Tamandua tetradactyla: one gene and its partner. Each later gene encodes a partner of the first gene's protein in a complex. Links are inferred from orthologs where the notes say so. Each region holds a gene or a part of one and is shown on either strand. Other genes may lie near its edges. The genes, in order: POLA1 and PRIM1.

Evidence for each region.
Region 2: the proteins of POLA1 (region 1) and PRIM1 are in contact, whole or in part, in a cryo-EM structure (PDB 7OPL), measured with the Homo sapiens proteins. The link is inferred for Tamandua tetradactyla from reciprocal best matches to the Homo sapiens genes POLA1 and PRIM1. Residues at the interface, in NP_058633.2 of Homo sapiens: Tyr439, Ala440, Pro447, Glu448, Lys449, Ser450, Phe876, Thr877, Thr878, Gln880, Leu906; in NP_000937.1 of Homo sapiens: Asn92, Thr93, Val94, Lys95, Leu96, Gly97, Ala98.

Annotation. Positions count from the first base shown.
Region 1 is NC_135353.1:149,483,443-149,493,914, forward strand, and holds the start of POLA1 (DNA polymerase alpha catalytic subunit), read right to left. Parts: upstream 4,752-10,472; 5' UTR 4,695-4,751; coding exon 4,652-4,694; intron 737-4,651; coding exon 612-736; intron 1-611. UniProt on the Homo sapiens protein: Catalytic subunit of the DNA polymerase alpha complex (also known as the alpha DNA polymerase-primase complex) which plays an essential role in the initiation of DNA synthesis.
Region 2 is NC_135333.1:123,843,075-123,853,048, forward strand, and holds the start of PRIM1 (DNA primase small subunit), read right to left. Parts: upstream 4,203-9,974; 5' UTR 4,133-4,202; coding exon 4,030-4,132; intron 3,392-4,029; coding exon 3,234-3,391; intron 985-3,233; coding exon 878-984; intron 805-877; coding exon 731-804; intron 1-730. Other genes in the region: 17-beta-hydroxysteroid dehydrogenase type 6-like, read left to right, coding at 4,328-4,382. UniProt on the Homo sapiens protein: Catalytic subunit of the DNA primase complex and component of the DNA polymerase alpha complex (also known as the alpha DNA polymerase-primase complex - primosome/replisome) which play an essential role in the initiation of DNA synthesis.

The DNA of each region.
Region 1 (10,472 bases):
GTTATTATTTTCTACTATCAATCGCTTCCTTGCCCAGAGGCAGTTAAGATACCTGGGGGCATGTTGAAGGTGAAACTAGACAATGATGTGCAGATAGTAGCCACTGAGTTCTACCTGTAGACCATACATATTAGGCAAAGAAAAACGGCCAAAACAGGCTCATATTCAACCTTATTTGCAGGATAACAACAGAAGTAAGGTCCAAGTTCCCACTGTCACGTCCCTTGCAAATGAGATAGCAAAGAACAATTCTCTCTAAGGAGAAGCAGTGCTTAGCTAGACTGCTTAATATCCTAAAAGTAAAGTAAAAGCACCTCTAAGTTCCCCAACAAAGTCACAGGATTTACCAAAGATGCAATGTGCTCAATAAGGAAAAAAATATATAGCTACTTTCATTTGGGAATTGTAAAATAATCTGTTAAGTGTCTTACAGGAACTTGTAAGTCTACCTCAAGTACATGCTTGTCCAAAATTAAGAAATTACTATTCTAGCAAGCTTGATATATGTACATATTTCTAATTAATAAGTTACCAAGGGTGCCATAAGACTGCTACAGGCTATACATTAGATGATGCACAGGAGGAAAAAAAATAGAAAAATGTTTGCTTACTTCATATTTATATTTTTCACCAGCTTTAGCTTTTTTTAGTCTTTCTAGAGCTTCTTGGCGTCCTTTCTTTGATTTCTTTTCTCGCCGGGATCTAGAAGCTACAAAACTCCCAGAATCTGACACAGCTGGAAAAAAAAAACAAATTCACATGAGACGTTAGAAAACTGTCAGTCATCTTCCCTCAAAACAAAGGAATATTTCTAGCCAGTAGTAATAAATAATCTTAATTTTATACAAATGGATACTTTTATAATGTATAATAATCTACAAAGCTCCTGTGACTCTTCAGAAATTTGTGGTAAAATCTAGTTAAAATCCAGTTAAGTACTAGGTGCTATGAGAGCCACAAAGATGAAAAACACACATGGTTCTTGTACTCACAGAACCTATAATCTAATGTGGGCAGTAAGTAGCAAGTGATTCTACAACAATATTTGGAAGTAACACATGCCCTAACAGAGGCACAGATAAGGCACCTGGAGTTTCAAAGGAGGAATAGATTGAGGTTTGGGGGAATTTGACAATGAGGCTCTGTGGTGATTCTAGATTTTAAGGCCTATTGTTTAACTTTCACAGTTGACTTTTAAATCCATTTTCAGAAAGGTATTACGTAAAAATTAAGGAACGCAGGTACTTGATGATGACAAAATCTTGTGTGACACTCAAATAATTTCACAAAATCAGGAGCAGACCTACACGAAAAGGTTTCAGAGATATCTGAACATGACCATTGAATGAAAAGTTGGCCTCAGTGTACTCTTCAAGAATCCATTGACTCATTTAGTATACCTGACAAAATCTGTAGGTTTTCAAATTGACTTATTCTACAAACAACAATGTTCCACTCTAACAGAGTTTGGGATAGTTACAAATAAAACTGAGCTGCCTATCCTCAAGGGGTTCACAGCCAAGTAGAACAAAAGGACCTGAGACTACCACCCTAATATAAACATAGCACCATATAAGAACACAGTACTGGGAGGGGGGCGGTGCAAGGGTAGTTCAGTGGTAGAATTCTGGCCTGCCATGTGGGAGACCACGGGGTTCAATTCCCCGCCCCTGCACTCTGCCCCTGCACTCTCCCCCTCCCCCCAAAAAGAAGCAAACAAAGAAAGGAAAAACAAACAAACAAAAATTCAACAAATGGTGCTGCAATAACAGGATACTAACATGGAAAAAGAATGAAATGTGACCCCCCCCCCCACCATGCAGCATACCAAAGAAAAAAAGAACATAGTACTGAGAAAATGTAGAAAAAAGAGCCATTAAATTCTGCATGAGAAATCAGGAAAGGTTTCACAGAGAGATTTCAAATATAGGCCTAGAAAGAAGAGTAGATCTCACCATTAGAGAACAGGGTAAAAAGTGGCACAAACAGAAGAAAAGGCATGACCCAAATTAGAGGTATAAAAATGCAGCATGTATTCAGAAACCAAGAGATAAAGTCAGTATTAACACCTTCAGGTAAGTTCAATGTGAGAGTGTAGAGTGAGTGGAAGAACCAGATTTAGAAAAGCAGCACATCCCAGCTCTGCCATTTACTGGGCTACATCAGACCACCAGTTAACCTCTCTGAGCCTTGATTTGTTTTGTTTTTAAGCTGCCCAGCTTCTGAAACTGGTTGTGAGATTCCCTCCTGACAAGTCTTGCTGGGAGAGAGAGCCCACATCCCACTACTTAAGCTGAAAAGGCCAGATGCCCTTTCCCAGATTCCCTAGCAGCTAGGGCAGAAGCATATAAACTAGGCTCTACTAGTTAGAAACACCTTCTCAGACTTTAAATTAGAAGCTAATGTCACAAGGAGGTGGAAGGGGGCCTTAAAGAAGATTATGAAAGTAGCAACAGTTAGAGGAGGATTGAGTGTCTGGAGCAACAACGCCCAATGCTGCAAGGTACAAGCTAAAGCATCAAGTAGCTGGCCATTTGAGAATTACCTCCTCATTGAACCAGTTTAGTAGCACAATTTTAAGCACTGTTCCTGGCTAAGCAACCCTCACACTGGCTCTCCTGTCCTCCTGGAGTTTCTGTGAAAACCCCAATAACATTCTAATAAATTATTTTTCTATTTAAATCAGTTAGAATTGGTTCCTATAGCTTACGCTAAGGATTCTGACTAATGCAGAGCCTCAGCGCCGTCATCTATGAAATGGGGATAATCATGTCTGCTTTGTAAAGTTGGTAAGGATTAAATGAAGATGCTTATCTTACTTTGTACCTAGCAATACAAGAGGAGTCCGTGTGTGTATAGAGATGCAGGGCAGTGACATATACATATATATGTACACACTCATTCCTGGCAGTACAATGCTCTAGCTTTTAGAAAACAGAAATAAAGCAAAACAACTTTCTCAGGGAAGTCTCAACATAGTACTGCAAATAATTAAATGTTTATCATCTCAACTGCACTAAGGACAGAAACCATGTCGAGTCTACCCACCGTTTAACAGAGCCTGGCAGAATGACTATGCCTAGTAGGTACATAATAAATATTTGCTGGATGAACAAATAAATGAACTATTACATCTGCGTTTTTGATCATTAAACTCTCCCTGGTCTCTTTTTATATATAATAGCAGCCAGCTATAGACCTTTCAACTTTTCACAGCATTGTCAAGGTACCCCATTCTAACACTTAAGAAAAAAAAGGCCTAGATTTTCCTTTTTGGGGTACGTTTCCGATGTTTCGTGTAGTTAGCAAAAATAATAATAAGCATGAAAAAACCCAAGAACAAAAGTTTATGTGATTCACAATTACCATTTATAATACCACCATCTGCCCCAAAAGCAGATAGACTCACCTCCAACAGTCTTTCAGCCAACAATCTTTCAGTTCAGTCTGCTCTAAAGGAAAGATTCCAGTCACAAGTGCCCAGCAACTACTTAATCAAATACCATGACTTAAAAGGGGTCTCAAGATTGCACAGTATCATCCAGAGTGATTTCTTGATGTTCAGGGATGACGTACAGTTTTTAGAAAGAAAGGCTTAGTGGCAAATCACTGATAGAGGGCTGCAAAGACACACTCACACCTTACATCCCATTTGTAATCCAGGCCAGTTAACGCTCCAGAATAAATTGTCTTAAAAAACGGAAGGCTAGAACAAATTGAAATGTGTGATTCACAACTAGGTGAATGCAAAAGGAAGCTGATTAGGGAGCAAGTTCTCATTAATGGTGATATATCTGAGTGGCAGGAGATATGAAGCTTGAGTAAGAAAGTGAAGCATTTGATTTTAAGTTAGGAGCTCAGCGAAGAAGTCACACTTTAGTTGAACACTGTTCAAAAATCAGAAATCAGACAAAGCCATTTACATTTTTTTATTCTATTTTTGGAAATAAAAAATCATTTGTAACTGAATGATACACAAGGCATCCAAAATGCTGCCCAACTGGTGCATTTTTTTTTTCAGAAACTTCACCCGAAATGACTAGATTGTGAACACTATTTCTATGCAGCACTTGAAAAACTTTGCACTGAAGCTGAAAGAAAAAACTGTTAATGCATAAAGTAGAAACCCATTACCTAAAAATACAAAATGCATTCGTATCTAGTGACAGCACTTAGAGCTTTCTTTCCTGTTAAGTTACAACACATAACAATTTTCCTCGCAGTTCTTAGAAAGGGGGGCGCACATCTATTCAATCCTAGCTCTTAAACGGATATTTGGCACCGAAGTAGTGAAACACTTTCAGCCAAGATAGTGCCCACACCAGTCTCAAAGATAGGCCCAACACGTGCGGTGCAAGTGACCAAAAGAAATAAAAATAAAGAAGGGCAAGTGCGGTGACCCTCAGTGACAGAGGTGAAGCAGCCTCCCAAACAGAAAAGACACGCAAGGTGTTGCACGGGTTTGCTAGAAGCAAATGGCCCTGGAAGAAAGCCCGGTCCTATACTGTAAGGTCTCCCGCCCAAGACGACGGTGGTCCACGCCACCCTGAGAAAAAAATTAGGGAGAACCCCCAAAATCTGCACCACCTGCACTCCTGCCGCAGTCCCCACACTCCCAACTAGACATCCCGCGCGCGAGGCCGTCCCTCACCGTTTGCCCCCGGCTCGCAGTCGTCGCCATGCACCGGCGCCATGGTTCCGAATCTCCCGATTCCGCGCCAACCAGCCCGAAACTGGCGCGGGGGCCGAAACAGGCGCCAGCCCGAAAGCCAATCAGCGGCTCCCGAGGCTGTGGACTTCCGCCCGGAAGGCCACTTACGTGCCGCCGCGCTGGGCCCCGCCCCTGGCCTTGCCGCGGGCTCGCGTTTGGCGCCCTGTGATGACCCCTTAGGGAAGGTTAGAGCTGAGCCGGGGCCGCTGGAGAGGAGGAGAAAGAAGCGGCCGGGCGCTGGAAAGGAGCCCTCTGGAGACTCGCTGCGCAGGCGCACGCATGCTGAAGGAAAAGACTTGGGCGCGTGGGAATAGAGGCTCCCTGGTTCTGAGAGTTGATTTTCTGGGAAAAGAGGCGCGGGCGGGCAGGATAGTGGGCGTGGTCGGACTGTATTTCCAGAAGCCTGGGAAAGCGACTGCCTCCTGCTGTGCGCTCTGAGTTTTGCTAGATACTTTGCCTCTCACATTGTTAAAGGTTGTTATGTGAATTTTTTTTTAATAAGCCACCACTTAAAGGTATATACACGACCCTAATCAAATGGCCAAAACAGCGTCACTAATAAGTAAGGGGCAATCTGACCTCATATGCCTCTGATACGATGCGCTTGAAAAAAAGAACATCACCTCTGTAATCTTGCAAAAAACGTTAAACCTGAATCTAACCGTGAGGAAACAATCAGACGTATCTAAAGTGTAGGACAACTTATAAAATATCTGTATTAAACTCTTCTAAAATGTTAACGTTACGAAAGACAAAAAAAGTGGTGAGGGGATCAGAGAGACAGAACAACTTGAGCCTTGATCAGAGCTTGCATATTAAAAACAAAGCTGTAAAGAATATTATTTGAGAACATTGGGGAATTTAATATAAGCTATTGTTAGAGCGGTGTTGAATTTCTTTGGGGTGATAAGTTTTGGTTGTGCAGGAGAATGTCCGTATTCTAAGGAGATGCTTAGGCGTGACATAATTGTCTAGCAAAGAGAGATAAAGCAAATGTGGCAAAACTTTTCTGTTCGTAAATAAAAAGTTAAAGGAAAAATGATACACAGAGTGTGTATTTTACTTCTTCGAGAGAAATTATCTTAATCACCCCAAAATGAACTCAGTTATGTTACTAAAGGCCGTGAATTCATTTACCCGATGTGCTCAATAACCAATTCCTGAGACACCGGGGTTTCAGAGAGAAAGAATTTTATTACTAGGTGCACAGTAAGAGAGCAGATGGCGTAGTGACTCAAAATCTGTCTCCTTGAACTGCAGCAATTCTGATAGTTTTATTATAGAAAAGATGGGTGAGGTTTAGGATAATGACCACAGTGGCCCCAGATGATATAATTAGAGGCAATCTAATTATTGAGCATGCACAGATTGATTACATGCTTAGTCACAGAACATGTGTAAGAAAATGGCAGAACGATGTATAGGTGACTTTTAGGTTAAAGTCTAAGCTACTGCACATGTCAACCCGATCCATTTTGCTTAGATCCAGTCTCGGTTCTCAAGATTACTTTGGACTTGGAGTGGGTTAGGTCTGGGCCTCAAGACCCTTCATTAATAAACATTAGGGGCTGTCTTTAGTAATGACAAGACTTCTAAAGTTAAAAACTGGATAACTCCGTATGAATGAAGGTTAGTCACAAGGTTTTTGCAATCACAGGGGCAGAAGATAAAGGCCATACGATCATTATCAGAGATCAAGGCAGCTGGGTTACAATTTAGAGATTTCAGTATTTTCCCTCTATCTTCTCCAATATACCAGAAAGCAAAAAGGACTGTCTATGTAATGATTCAGTAATCAAAATCATCCTTTAAATCCTGATTTCTAAATTATGCTTAGATAGTTCAATTTGAAGCAGGGGAGCAGTGCTGGCAGAAGAGAGTGGCTTTTGCGCTTTCACCCCCACCCCCATTCCACCCCAGCACATGCAAAGCCTCACACCTCTCTCAACCTGGCATATTCTAGGCCTCCTCCAAGTTTTAACCACCCCAAGGTTAAGCCTGCCACAATCCCCTAGGTTCTGGTCTAGATTATCTTCACAGCTATTAAAATGAGCAATTTTATTACCATTGGCCTTTTGGTGTTCTTATAAATATCCAGTCTGGTTGTCTTGGTTTCGTAGGGCTATTGTAACAAAGTACCATAGACTAGTTGGCTTAAAGAACAGAAATGTATTGTTTCTGTAAATTCTGTAAGCCAGTAGTCTGAGTCATGGTGTCGGCAGAGGCACGCTTCTTCTGTAGGGTTCTGACAGTGATAAGGAATCCATGAAGTTCCTTCGCTGGTAGCATAATTCAATCTCTCTCTCTGCCTCTGCCTCTCTATGTCCAGACTTCCTCTCCTTATAAGGGCACCAATCATATCAGAAAGTCCTGATTGGCCCATCTTAACTAATAATATCTTCAAAACTCTTACTTATAAATAAGTTCACAATCATAGAACCAGGGGTTAGGATGCAAACATATCTTTTGGGAGTGACACAATTCCATCCATTGTACTCTGCCCTCTGGACCCTAAAAAACCATGTCCTTCCCACATACAAACACATTCACCCCATCCCAAGATCCCAAAAGTCTTAAGCCATTTCAGTAACAATTCTAAATCCAAAGTCTCATCAAAATCAGCTAGATGGGTGTGGTCCATCCCGTGGCAAAATTCCTCTTAGTCTGTGGATTTGTGAAACCTAGAAAACAAGTTTCCAAAATACAATAGTGGGACAGGCATAGGGTAGATATTCCCATTATGGAAGGGAAAAATTGGAAGTAAAAAAGGATTCATGGGTCCCAAGCAAATCTGAACCCCAGCAGGGCAAATTCTATTAGATTCCAAGTTCTGAAAGTCATCTGTGGATTGATGCTATGTCTTTGAACCTGGTGGGATTCCATTACCTAGTAGCTTCCCAGGCCTATTAAATCAGACTTTCTGAGGATGGGACTCCAATGTACACCAAGGGTGAGACCAAGTGGTCTAGATGAGGTACTGCTGAACTTTTTCTATTTCTTTTTATTTATTTTCTTTAACTTTTTTCACCGATCTTTTGTAGTTTTTTAACACATCTATCTTGTACATATTTTGTTAACTTTATCCCTAAGAATGTCATGTTTTTAATGCTATTATAAATTCGTCTTGCTTTTTAAATTTCGATTTCCAATTGTTTGTGGCTAGTTAAGATTTTGATGCCACCCCAACACACATGACCCTCTTCTCCCTAATCCTAGCTAGAGCAGTTACACTACTGTGGTACAGAATTTTTTCTTTCTTTGGCATTTCTGCCAAGTTACCATTTATGCAGAACACTTCCACTGAGCCACCCTACATTTTGTTCTTCTTTGGAGACCAGTGTGAAGAGAAGCAAAGCCATTTCCAAATCTTGGTTTTGATTCCAGGTCAAGCAAGAAGTTTCCTAACTACTTAGATTTGTTTCAAGATATTTAATTTCATTTTCCTGAATCAAAAGTTTGGAAATGTTGTATGTTGCTCTTTTCCTCATATTTTCCTCGTATTTTCACAGGAGGTTCAACTGTGTTTCTCTTATAATCACAAATTGCATTGTCTATGGTCAAGGACATTTAGAGGTGGAAAAGTTCTTAAAAATCCTTGAACTTGTTGTCTCTCCAGCAAAATAACTTCTTCAGTGAGTTGTTGATTATATACCAAGAATGGAATGATCATATGGTAAGATTTTCATGTTTGTTTGTTGTTATGTTTTAAAAAAATTTTAATTATAAAATAATAATAATAATAATAAATTCTTCAGAGTCACAGTTGAAAATTAAGATTCCCTTTTACCTTGGTAAGTGAGAAAATGGTGAAAGGGTAAGGGAAAAAGAGAAAAATACAAGGAACTGGGTTCTAGGGTTAAGCACAAAAATGTTGTATCATGAAAGGCCTGCTGGCAGACAGCAAAAAGCCTGGGAAGTATATAGAGGTAATTACTAAACATATCATGTTCAGTTTCTTGCCAAGACAGTTCTACACCAGGCTGAAAGTTTTTCTGTTAGTGAGAAAAATGTCTGCAACCACCCCCCAGCAATCCATTAAAATAATTGTTATGAGGAAGTGAAACAATTTCCAAGTTACTTGTCTTGTCACTCTAGCATCTTTGAGAAGTTTTATTAATGGCCTAATGGATCAACAAACTTTGAAGACATTTCTGTGCTTGGATCTAAGTTGTTTTACCAAGTTACTGCAAAATAAAACTAATGTAGTAGTTTGAAGTTATATGAACCCCAGAAAAAAACATGTTTTTAAATCTAATCCACTTCTGTGGGTGTAATCCTACTGTAAGCAGTATATTTTTTTTTTTTTTTTTTTTAAAGGAAAGACAGAGAGAAGGAAGGAAGGATAGAAGGAAGGAAGGAAGGAAGAAAGGGAAACATCTTTAAACATTTTCTTGTTTCATATGTTGATCACTTCCTGGAAGATGGCGGCTTAGTAAGACGCGCGGATCTTAGTTTCTTCTCCAGGACACCTACTAGGGGAGTAGAAACGATACAGAAAGCGCCCAAAGCCACAACAGAGATAAAAAAGACAGCGTACCCCATCCTGGAACGGCTGGCTGGCTGAGAGAAGCAGCTCGGGTGAGATCGCCGAGGCGCGCGGGCCTTACCGGGCGGGGTGGCAAGCGGCCGGAGTTACTCCCTTCCCCCTTCCCGGGCCGGCTGGGAGAATTGGAGAGGCGGTCCCCTGAAACAAAGACGGCTGGCGCCCACACCACGCGCAGCCCCCGGACCAACTGAGAGAATTGGATCGGAAACCCCCAGCCCGCGGAGAACGGTGACGGGTGGGGGAGGCCCCTTCCAAACCCGTGACTCCCGGGGAACGTGCACTCTCTCGGGCGGGCCGCTGCCGCTGGCGCCCTCCCGCCACACTTGTTGCCCAGGGCCGACTAGGAAATTCGGACGGGCTCTTTCCCTGGCTGCGGCGACCAGCAACCCGCCCTGCGTTCGGACCGAGGGCCGGCTCAAGCCGCTTCGGCTAGCGAACCCCCAGGACGGCGAGAGTTTTCCAAAGTTTAAGGTCCCACAGCACCTTTTACTGGTGGGACCCGCAGACAAACGTGTGCCACGAGCGCCACCTACTGGGCAGGATAAGAAAAACAGAACCCAGAGATTTCACAGAAAAGTATTACAACCTTGCTGGGTCCAACACCAAGAGAAATCTGAATAAATGCCCAGACGCCAGCAGCAGAAGATAACTGTCCACGCTCAAAAGATTGAGAATATGGCCCAGTCAAAGGAACAAACCAATAGCTCAAATGAGACACAAGAGCTGAGACAACTAATCCTGAATATACGAACAGAAATGGAAAACCTCTTCAAAAATGAAATCGATAAATTGAGGGAGGACATGAAGAGGACATGGGCTGAACATAAAGAAGAAATAGAAAAACTGAAAAAACAAATCGCAGAACTTATGGAAGTGAAGGATAAAGTAGCAAACATAGAAAAAATAATGGATAGCTACAATGATAGATTTAAAGAGACAGAAGATAGAATTAGTGATTTGGAGGATGGAACATCTGAATCCCAAAAAGAAACAGAAACTATCGGGAAAAGAATGGAGAAATTTGAACAGGGTATCAGGGAACTCAAGGACAATATGAACCGCACAAATATACGTGTTGTGGGTGTCCCAGAAGGAGAAGAGAAGGGAAAAGGAGGAGAAAAACTAATGGAAGAAATTTTCACTGAAAATTTCCCAACTCTTATGAAAGACCTAAAATTACAGATCCAAGAAGTGCAGCGCACCCCAAAGAGATTA
Region 2 (9,974 bases), on another chromosome or scaffold:
CTTGCTTACTTCCTTAGCTTCATTTTAAATCTCTTATTCACATGTGCTTTCCCTGTAACCATACTGAATTATTTGTAGTTTCCCAAGTGCCCCACACTCTTACCTTCATGTCTTTAGCCATCCTGGTCTCTGCCAAGAATTTCTTCATGCCCCAGCACTTCTATTTTTCTCCCTGACTAACTGTCATTTATATCTTTAAAGACTCATCTCAGGATTTTAAAACAGTTAATATATTTCAAGTGTTTTAGAACAGTACCTTGGACACAGTAAGCCTTATATAAGAGTCAGCTGTCATTATTATCATCATCATAGCCACTTCTTCTGGGAAGCCTTTTCTGACCCATTCTCTTCCCATTCCTGTATACACTCCTGTGGCTCTATATCCCCAGAGCACCCTGTGCGTATTACTTAATACAAATGTACCTGTGTCCTTAGAGTGTGTGACCTAATTGAGGGAGGAATTGTTATCTCTCATATTTTCTTTATCTGGAACAGCACCTAGTACATAGAGTTGCCCTATAAATGACTGACTTGGGTAAAAATATACTAGTTTGCTCACCAGCTTTATTAGAATTTCAACTGTAACTTTATTTCAACCTTTTATTTCCCTACCATATGTTTCAAGGAGACATTAAAAATTCAAGAAATCATACTATAAAATGGTACAGATAATCCAATATCCAGAAGAAACAGATTCATCTGACCCCACTCAGATATTGCTGATACTTGCCCTTCAACGCTCGGTCGATGATGTGTATGGCCATTGTCATGAGGGTCCAACACTTAGAACATATGTCTGCGGAACTGGAACAGAGAGGCATCATTATTCACTGTCAGTGACATCACCCACCCCAACAGCAGGGCACCTGGTGCTTACCTACAACATCTCCTCACATCGTCATAGTCTGTCATATCAATGTCAAACACCAGCTCTTTTTCCTGAGCCTGGAAAGCTCCCAGCTTCACAGTATTATATTGACTAGGCTACAAATATAAAATATTTATCAGTTTCTATAAGAGTTGCCATGCTGTTATATCTGCTAATTTTCTACTCACATAGAAAAAAAAGTGGCCAAAGGGAAATGGAGAAACCATAAAATCTAAGTCTATGTTAATGAAGTTTCGTTATCTTGGATCCCCAAATCCAGAATTGATGACAAATTAATTTTCATAAGAGTTTGATAAATATATTCACCATAAATATTTGTTGATTGATAGGAATTATAATGAAACTTTTCAGGTCTCTGATATGAAAAGGTACTTATAAATAATAAATACCCTAAAACAAAGGTTTTTTTTTAAAAAATGTGTCTCCCTACATGTTTTTCTGTATAAATACACACACAGAGAAGCAGATATGTAATATGCATACCACAGCAAATTTGTTTTGTTTTTTTTTGGGTGCATGGGCTGGGAATTGAACCCAGGTCTCCTGCATGGCAGGTGAGAATTCTACCATTGAACTGTCCATTTTCCCCACAACGGGTTTTAAAGATCTTTACTTGTTACTGTATATACAAGTAATAAAGACGTAATTATTTTAAAACGTTCAGTCATTCAAAAGGATCTTCCCAATGCGTTTGAACTGGGCCTTTATAGTCAAGAGGCTATGGTCTCCCAGGTAAAGAAGGCGGACTGAATACAGATACTTCTGTTCCTTTCAGATCCCTTTAAAAACAATAGAAAAGCATTTTTCAAGAAGGCATAACCCTTTTAAAAAAGAACCAAAGAGGAGACAACACCTTCACAATTTTTATAACTAGAATTCTGAAGGGAGTGGTAACTGAGGAGACTCATAAAAGCCAAATCTTAAACTATCAATAAGAAGAGCTAAGAAGCAACCCAATTCATAGCTCAGGATCCCCAAAGGGCTCAGAAAAAGGTATTTCTGGAGTGTGTGTATGTGAAGGATGATGGAGGGGGTTGGTGGTGAGGCTGAGATTAAAAACAGAAGGACTGGTTCAAAACCTATTCAAGAATCTGTTAGCTCCCAAGCTTGTTATATTTACTTTGCAGAGTTGGGAAACTGCTCTTCCTGTGACCTAGCAATAGACACCTAATTTATCATCTGGAGAATGTAGAACAGAGGCTCTCTGCATGGGGGAACAACAGGCACAGTCAAAGGAGTATTCTACTATAATTAGGGGGATTAACTGGACATTTACATATGGAATGTTGAGGACCCATTTCTTTAACCTTCTACTAACAACCCATGCAGAAGACTGGAAGATTCTGAAGAATTTGACCAGATTATGAGGAAATCTCAAGAATATCTGAGTGCCAGACACTTTTCTAGGCCCTAGGAATAGATCAGTGATGAAACCAAAGTTTTCTGCCCTAGTGGAAAAGATCTAGAAAAACTGATAGCAGTGATTCCCCAATAAAGTGGCCTAGCTCAAACTTGAGCAAGGGCCAGTATGGCTGGAGTAGTGAGTCAGGGGGAGAGAAGGGCTTTTATTTTGGATGAAATGAGGAGCCAATGGAGAATAGTTTTGACAGGAACCACAGAACTTGACATTCATTCATTCATACATTCATTTATTTTTGGGTGCATGGTCTGGGGATCGAACCTGGGTTTCCTGCATGTAAGGCATGCATTCTAACATTAAATCACCCGTGTACCCTTTTTTAATTTTATTTTTTAGGAAGTTTTTTTTTTTTTTTTTTGGGCATGTGCAGGCTCCAGGAATCTGACTTGTCTTTAACAGGTTCACACGGAAGCCTGTGTTGAGAACAGACTTCAGAATACAGAGGGACAAACTATTTGGTTTTTATAGCAATTCAGGTGAGAGAAGATGATGGTAGAAGCACTGGTAGCAGTGGGTGGATTTTGATATATATATGGTACAGTCAAAGGGAATTCCTAATCTAAAGGATGTGGGAGTATGAGAGAGGAATCAGGAATAACTCCAGTGCTGGGAGAAAATACAGCTCTTTTTTTGGTTCCCTACTATTGCCTTCCTTGCTAGTCTTTTAGCCAGATATCCACTTTTGTTGTTGTTGTTGCTCTAGTGAGAATGCAACCAATTTACTTCCAATTGATTTCCAATCAGTAATGTACAGTGTCAAAGAACAAAAGATTATAATCTACTTGCAAAAGCTAAATAAGCAGGCCTTAATAGTGCCCTGAACTTAAGTGAACTCTAAAAAATTTATCCCAAAATGCTGGCGGCATCAACTGATCCTTGGTTTAAAAAGCAAAACAACAAAATACAATAAAAAAGATTCCTTACTCTGTGGGAATATACTGCACCTATGTCAATCTTGTATGGATTCATTTTCTGCATCTCCTTTTCCAGTTCACCCTGGTTGTTGAAGGATTGGTAGCGAACGTAAATATCATCTTTCAAAGTGAATGAAAATTCACGGTGTTGAAAATAATTCTTTATCACTGCAAAATAAATTTACATTTTAGAATTAATTAGGTACTTTCTTCATTTCAGGGCATATGACATTAACCAACAAGATATTTAATGAGCTCCCTGTGCCCAACACTGTGCTGATGTACACCAAAGCACAAGACTTGGTCTCTAATTTGAAGGGGTTTACCATTATCTGCTAGGAAAAAACAAAAATGAGGAAAAAGATGCAGAAATATTTTACAATATAATGTTTCCTTGGTGGATGCTAATAAACGAAATCAGCTGCGAAGATGAAAGTACTTTTCCTTCTCCTGGAGACACTGGTCTGTCCCCGATGCAGATCACACCTTTGCAGGTTCAGGCTACAAAATCCCACAAACCCCTGGTTTACGGACCGCAGCAGGTAAATCGGGCTCCAAATGTGAGCCTGACCAGGTGGTGTAGGAGCAGCGGCCCTACCTTTTGCTGTGCGGTCGTAGTCTGGTTATCATACTCTCTTTCGGCCCATGTCCATCTTAAAGGTGGTGAGGGTTCGAGATAATGCATGAAGGCGCCCGGAACAACGCCTAGGCGCACGGAAGGCACACCTAACATTCATTCCAAGAACATCCCGCCCGGAACCTTCTCACACTCCCTCCCGACCCGACTCCTTCCCCGCGTCCATCACCTCCGCCATAGTTGAGCCAGCGATAGTACTGGGCGTAGGGAAAGAGCCTCCGGTAATAAAGGTTAAGCAGTTCAGGCAGCTCGGAGGGATCAAACGTCTCCATAGAGTAACGAGCTCAACTCAGGTAGGACTAGGGCAGGAATTGGCGGGAATCAGCTAGAGTTTACACTAGGGCGCAGGCGCGCTGGCGCGCTGCGACCGCGGCCCGCCTCCTGGCGGGGCCGCCGGGAATTGTAGTTCCCTCTTCGAGGTCAGCCCGGGAGGCGGTCTGCGCTCACTGACAGCCACACTAGGGCAAATGGGCAGAGGAAGCGTCAAGAACCATTCTGGAAAGATGAAAGCTTATTCAAAAGGTGAGCATATCGGCTTAGGTTTTAAAGATGAAGGAAAATAATGTTCCTTGCTAACTTTATAAATGTACACATTGAAACAATGAAAATTGATATCATTTTAAGAGGGTTTGGGAATTAGTTCTTCATGGAGTTATGAGGCCAATAGAGCACCCAGGATTACTGAAATATAAATTAAAGGCAGCTGGAGAATCATGAAATGCTTTACAAGTGTGAAAGGATCCCGTTTGCTATTGATGTAGCACATCTGCCAGGCGGGTAAAGATACATCTCTTTGCAATTGTGATTGAGGTGGGCAGTCTATTAATGATAGCAGTGTGGTGTCACGTGAAAACCATCATTTTCATAAATTTTAGTTTTCACAGTGATGGTAGGGAAGAAGGAGAGAATAGTCTCTTGTAAATTTTGGATTTATATTCCTAATCTTGAAATTGATCATCTTATTCCCTTTAAGTGCTCTGCCATGAGGCCTTTATCCCAAATGCCGCTGGGGGGCAGTGTTGCCATTCAGTTTGTTTTCCTCTCCTGATTTCCAGGCCATTGTTCTTTCACTTCCAAAGATGCAAAGCCCCTTTCTCCATAGGTCTTATTCTCTGTGACTCTACTTTGGCCTTCTTTGGTCAGCACCAGGTCTCTTCCCAAGTTCCTTGCAAACTGGTTCACCCCAAGTGTCTTCATGGGCTTCCCTTCTTCTTAACATCTATTGTTATTTTTGATATTTTTTAGCATCCAAAAGGGTGGTGTTTTTGGTAAAAGTATGGTCCATTCAGTTATTCTTTAATTCATTGATTTACTCAACAAATAGTTAATGAACGTATATGTTGGACACTTTGGTAGGCTCTGGGGAGAAAAAAATTTAATGACATAATATCTACTATCAAGGAAGTTATAGCCTAGTAGGAGTAAGACACAAATCAAATATGGCAATGAAGGGTAATGGATGTATTTGTAACCCAACTGTCTATTAGCATAAGCATGTTCCTTAAGACTTGGATAAAATTGGCTTAGACCCCAAGTCCACGATTTGGAGCATGTCCATGATGTCTAGATTTCTGCAAATCTACAGTGAGCTCACTTTCTCAAGATGTAACCCGGACCTCCTCCGGAATAAAGTCAGTTCAGTTAAGAAATTACTCATCATCTTGCACAAGTTGTCCTTTTTCTGTCTTAATACTAAGGTATTGAACTTACCCATTACTATAATTTTCACACACACACAAACCCACACCATTGTGAGTGTACCATATTAATTGAAGGTTTGAGAAATTTGAAAGCGACTTTACATTAACAATCTAATATGGAGAATTAGACACCCCTGTTTTTCAAAGACCAGCCATACTTGACTATCCTCTTTCTTATCTCTTCTCCCTCTGCCAACTAACTTCTTACTGCCAGGTTCCTGTTCTTTTGTAGAGCAGTTTGGCTTTCTCTTGTGCCCCTGAGGTGTCACCTTCCTACAGCTGGTCTTGGCCAAAAGGGTGAGAAGTGATCACCTTCCACTCTAGAGACAAATTGTATTAGTTTACTAAAGAAAGTTTCCTCCCTAAAAGAATTTCTGTGCCAACTATTAAAATAATTATTGTGGTTTTTTTTTTTTTTTTTTTTTTTTTTACCCTCACCACACTTTACTAGAAATATATAAGGGGTAAACTTAAAATCACAAAATAATGAGTGGTGAATTTTCCTTTTAAATAGGGGACAGCAATAGTTCCTAGACAAGGTAGAATTGAAGTGCTCCTGGAAAGATGAGTGTGGTTTGCTAGGTTGCAACGGAGGAAATTTCTAAGCAGAGCAGTTATAGGGAACACAGGGTCAAAGGTCTTAATGGTATGGCACATGAAAGAAACTGTCAACAGTTCCCTAGTGACAGAGCTCAAACTTCAGGGGAAGGCATCCTTAGAGTCAGCCACAGTGGTTTTGCATACCAAGCTAAGGAGTGTGGAAAAAAATTACTTCCCTTCTGCTTTTGTTAAGCTTTGGATATAATGAAAATAAAATTCTGATCATATCAGTATTTGATGAGAAATCTTGGAAGTGAATAATCTTTTTGAAACAAGTAAGTTGTTTGAAAATTTGAAGTATTTCTGTGCAAGTTATTTTTCTTCTCAGTTAGATAAGGAATAGGAGGTTAGAGAATATGTTCTGTTGATACAAGAGTATAATAAACAAAGGGAGGTTATCTAAATGGGATCAAGGTCATATCTAAGTTTTTGTTTTCTTGGTTGTTGTTTGCTTATTTGTTTGTTTTGGGAAGTGCATGGGCCATGAATTGAACCTGGGTCTCTCACACGGCAGGTGAGAATTCTACCACTGAACTACCCTTGCACCCTGCCCCCCCCATCTAAGTTTAAGCATGAAAGGTCCTGGCTCTTGTTACCACAAAATACTGAAAAGTAGCAAGGAGACCCTCATATTCATTTAATAAAAAAGCTTTAGTTAAATGTCACAAGAATGTTTCCTTTAACCACAAAGGAAGTGATGACCACCAAGGCAATAAAACATGTCTTACAGGATATTGAAATTGCTCTTTAATTATATATATTGGGTTTGGTATAGAAAATGGAATGTTTTTACTAAGCTGTAAATGATCTCAGCATACTTATAATAAGTAATCTGGCACTATATATACCGTGTAGGTTTTTCTGACAAATCATAAAGCTACATACTATTTGGGTCTAGCTTTCTTCTTGCAGAATACTTGAAATAAAGGATGGCTCTAGCAGATTCAAATCCAACATCAAGCCTTGTTCCTCCACGGGAATTTGGATTTGTTGTGAAGACAGTAGGAGCTATGGGAAGGTTTTAAAAAGGGGAGGAACATAATCAGAGTTGTGTTTTAGAAGTAAACTCTGGAAATAAACTATGGAGCCCTGTGGAGGACAACAGAAGGGAGAGAGCAACTGAGGTAGAGCGCTCCTGGGAAACTTGCTATAATCCAGGTGAGAGGTACTCATGGTTTGAACAAAGGTAGAAAAGTGGAGATGAAGGGAATTGGGTGGACATAACTGACTTTAGGAGGTAGAATTAATATTGATTGGACATGGGGAGTGAGGGACAGGAAGGGGTCTAGGATGATAGCCAGATTTCAGGCTTGGTAACCTGATGGAAGGGGGTTTTCTGGCACCCAGTAGTCACTAGTTAACTTTTCTATGTGTTGAATAAATGTGCAGATATGAAATACATGAGTATAAGGAGAAGAATCAGTTTGCAGTGAGGTATCATTTCTATTTTAAATAAGTTGAGTTGGAGGTACTGCTAAGATACTCCCTGTAAGCACCATATACTTTTCTTTCATATCCTTTATCATAGTGTTCAGCTATGTATTTATTTGTGAGAACATGTTTATTTTCCCTACTAAGCCTGTAAGCTCTAAGAATTCAAATATCATGTTTATTTTACTCACCTGTGTATCTATAGCATAATAGGGACCCTATATTTACGGAATGAAATGGATGAACCCAGTGCAGATGTCCAGCAGATAGTTAGATCTGAGGGGCTAGATCTGGACTGAAGTTAGGGATGTCCAAGTGTCTAACTCAGAGAGATTGCCAAACAAGGAGGCTGTGTGCAGTGATAAGAGAGGAAGGACCTGGAAAAAAAATCTTAAGGGTACTGACTTCAGAAATTGAGTAGAGGAGGGGAAACCAACAAAGGACAATGAGAACGAATGGTAGTAGAAGCAGGAAAGCTAGGAGAGAATGATTTTACAGGGGCAAAGGGAGCACAAGAGAAATGTGAAAGGATAAACATGGTCAATTAAGATAAGGACTGAGAAGAGAACTCAGCTTGGGCAATCAGGAAGTTACTGATGACCTCTGCCAGATTTGTTTTATGGAATAGTCAGGGCAGCATACAGACTTCAGGGAGTTGAGGAAGGAATAGATGGTTCCTCCTCCTGTTTTTCTGAACTTGTTTACTGGCACCATCACCACCAACCCAGTTGGTGGGCCCTTCCTCTGCCTCACTCCTACCCCTAAGGTGTTAATAATCCCTTTTATTTCTAACATTCCTGGAATATGTCCTCTCCTCTCCATCCCCATTTCCACTGCCTGAGTCCAGATTCTTATTGTCTCTAATTTAGATTGGTGCAGTAGACTCCTGATTGTTCTCCCCATTTCCAGTATTGCTCCATCTTTTCCACTGTTGTAGGGGTAAGATTCTTCAGTGGCTCCCCGGATTCATTCCTATCAGACTCCAGTTAGTTCTTTGATTCCCTCCCTTGCAGCTTTGCTTTAGTCATATAAAACAGCCTTTACCTGATGCTCTTCCATGATTCCAAGGTTTCGTACATGCTATTCATAATGCCATTTTCTGCTGATGAATGTCTTCCGATTAGTTTCCCTCTTTTGTGAAGCCTTTTTCTTCCTTCTTTCAGAGATAGGTCTTCCTGTATCTCCTGATCTTTATTATGAACTACTACAAGTATGCAGAGAATAAATAACACCCTTTTATCCATTGCCTAGATTTGACAAATATTTACATTTTCTGTATTTTTTTTTCAGATACGGTTAAGGGCCCTTGAAAACTCTTTCCTCTCTTCCTGAAGGTAACCATTTTCCTGAATTTGGCATATGATTTTCAGTACCATTCAATTGCTTTTATACGCATGTATTTTTTATAAACAATATGTGATATTATTTTGCCTGTTTTAAAAATGTATATGAATGGGGATCATACTTTACATGTATAAATATAATCATACTGTGGTTAGTATTTACTACTTGCTGCTTTTGCTGTATATGATAGTACATTTTAAAAACCTCTTCTCTAGGACCTGTTGCACTGTATGGTATTCGTTTCCTTAGGGCAGAGCCTTTCTTCTTATTCATCTTTGTTTTTTAGTTTTAGTGTGGTTCCTCCCTTGTAGTAGGTATTCCAAATGTTAACAGAGAAGAGATTGGGGTGATTTAAAATTTTTTTGTGACTTTTTCTATATTTTAAAAGTTTCTACAGTTATTATTTCTGAAATGAGAAAATTAATCTGGTATTTTTCTCTGCAAACATTTCCCAAGCTGCAGAGCCAGGAGCCCAGTTGTTACTGGAAGGAATGACCAGTATTGGGTGGGGCTTCCCATTAACTTTGTGGTTTTCTGTAGCGTGGGTAACCTCTGATGGTATAAAGCCCTTCTTCATGCTTTGTATGCGATGTGGATTGCCAGGTTTTACTAGAGTTCTTACTGTGACTCCCCACATCCTTTATAATGGACTAAGTGCTTAATGGGTATGGAGTTTCCTTTCAGAATGATGAAAATATTTTGGAATTAGATAGAGATGGTGGTTGTACAACATTGTGAATGTATTAAATGCCACTGAATTGCTCCATTTAAAATGGTTAATTTTATGTTATGTGAATTTCACTTCAATTAAAAAAATGGGCAAAAGATTGAACAGATCTTTCTCCAAAGAAGATATAGAGTGGCCAATAAGCTATTGAGAAGATGTTCAATATCAGTAGTAGCTAGGGAAATGCAAATCAAAACCACAGTAAGACCATTTCATGCCCACTGGGATGTCATAAGACAGACAATGACAGGTTTTGGTGAGGATGTGGAGAAATTGGAACCCTCATAAATTGCTGGGATTGTAAAATGATAT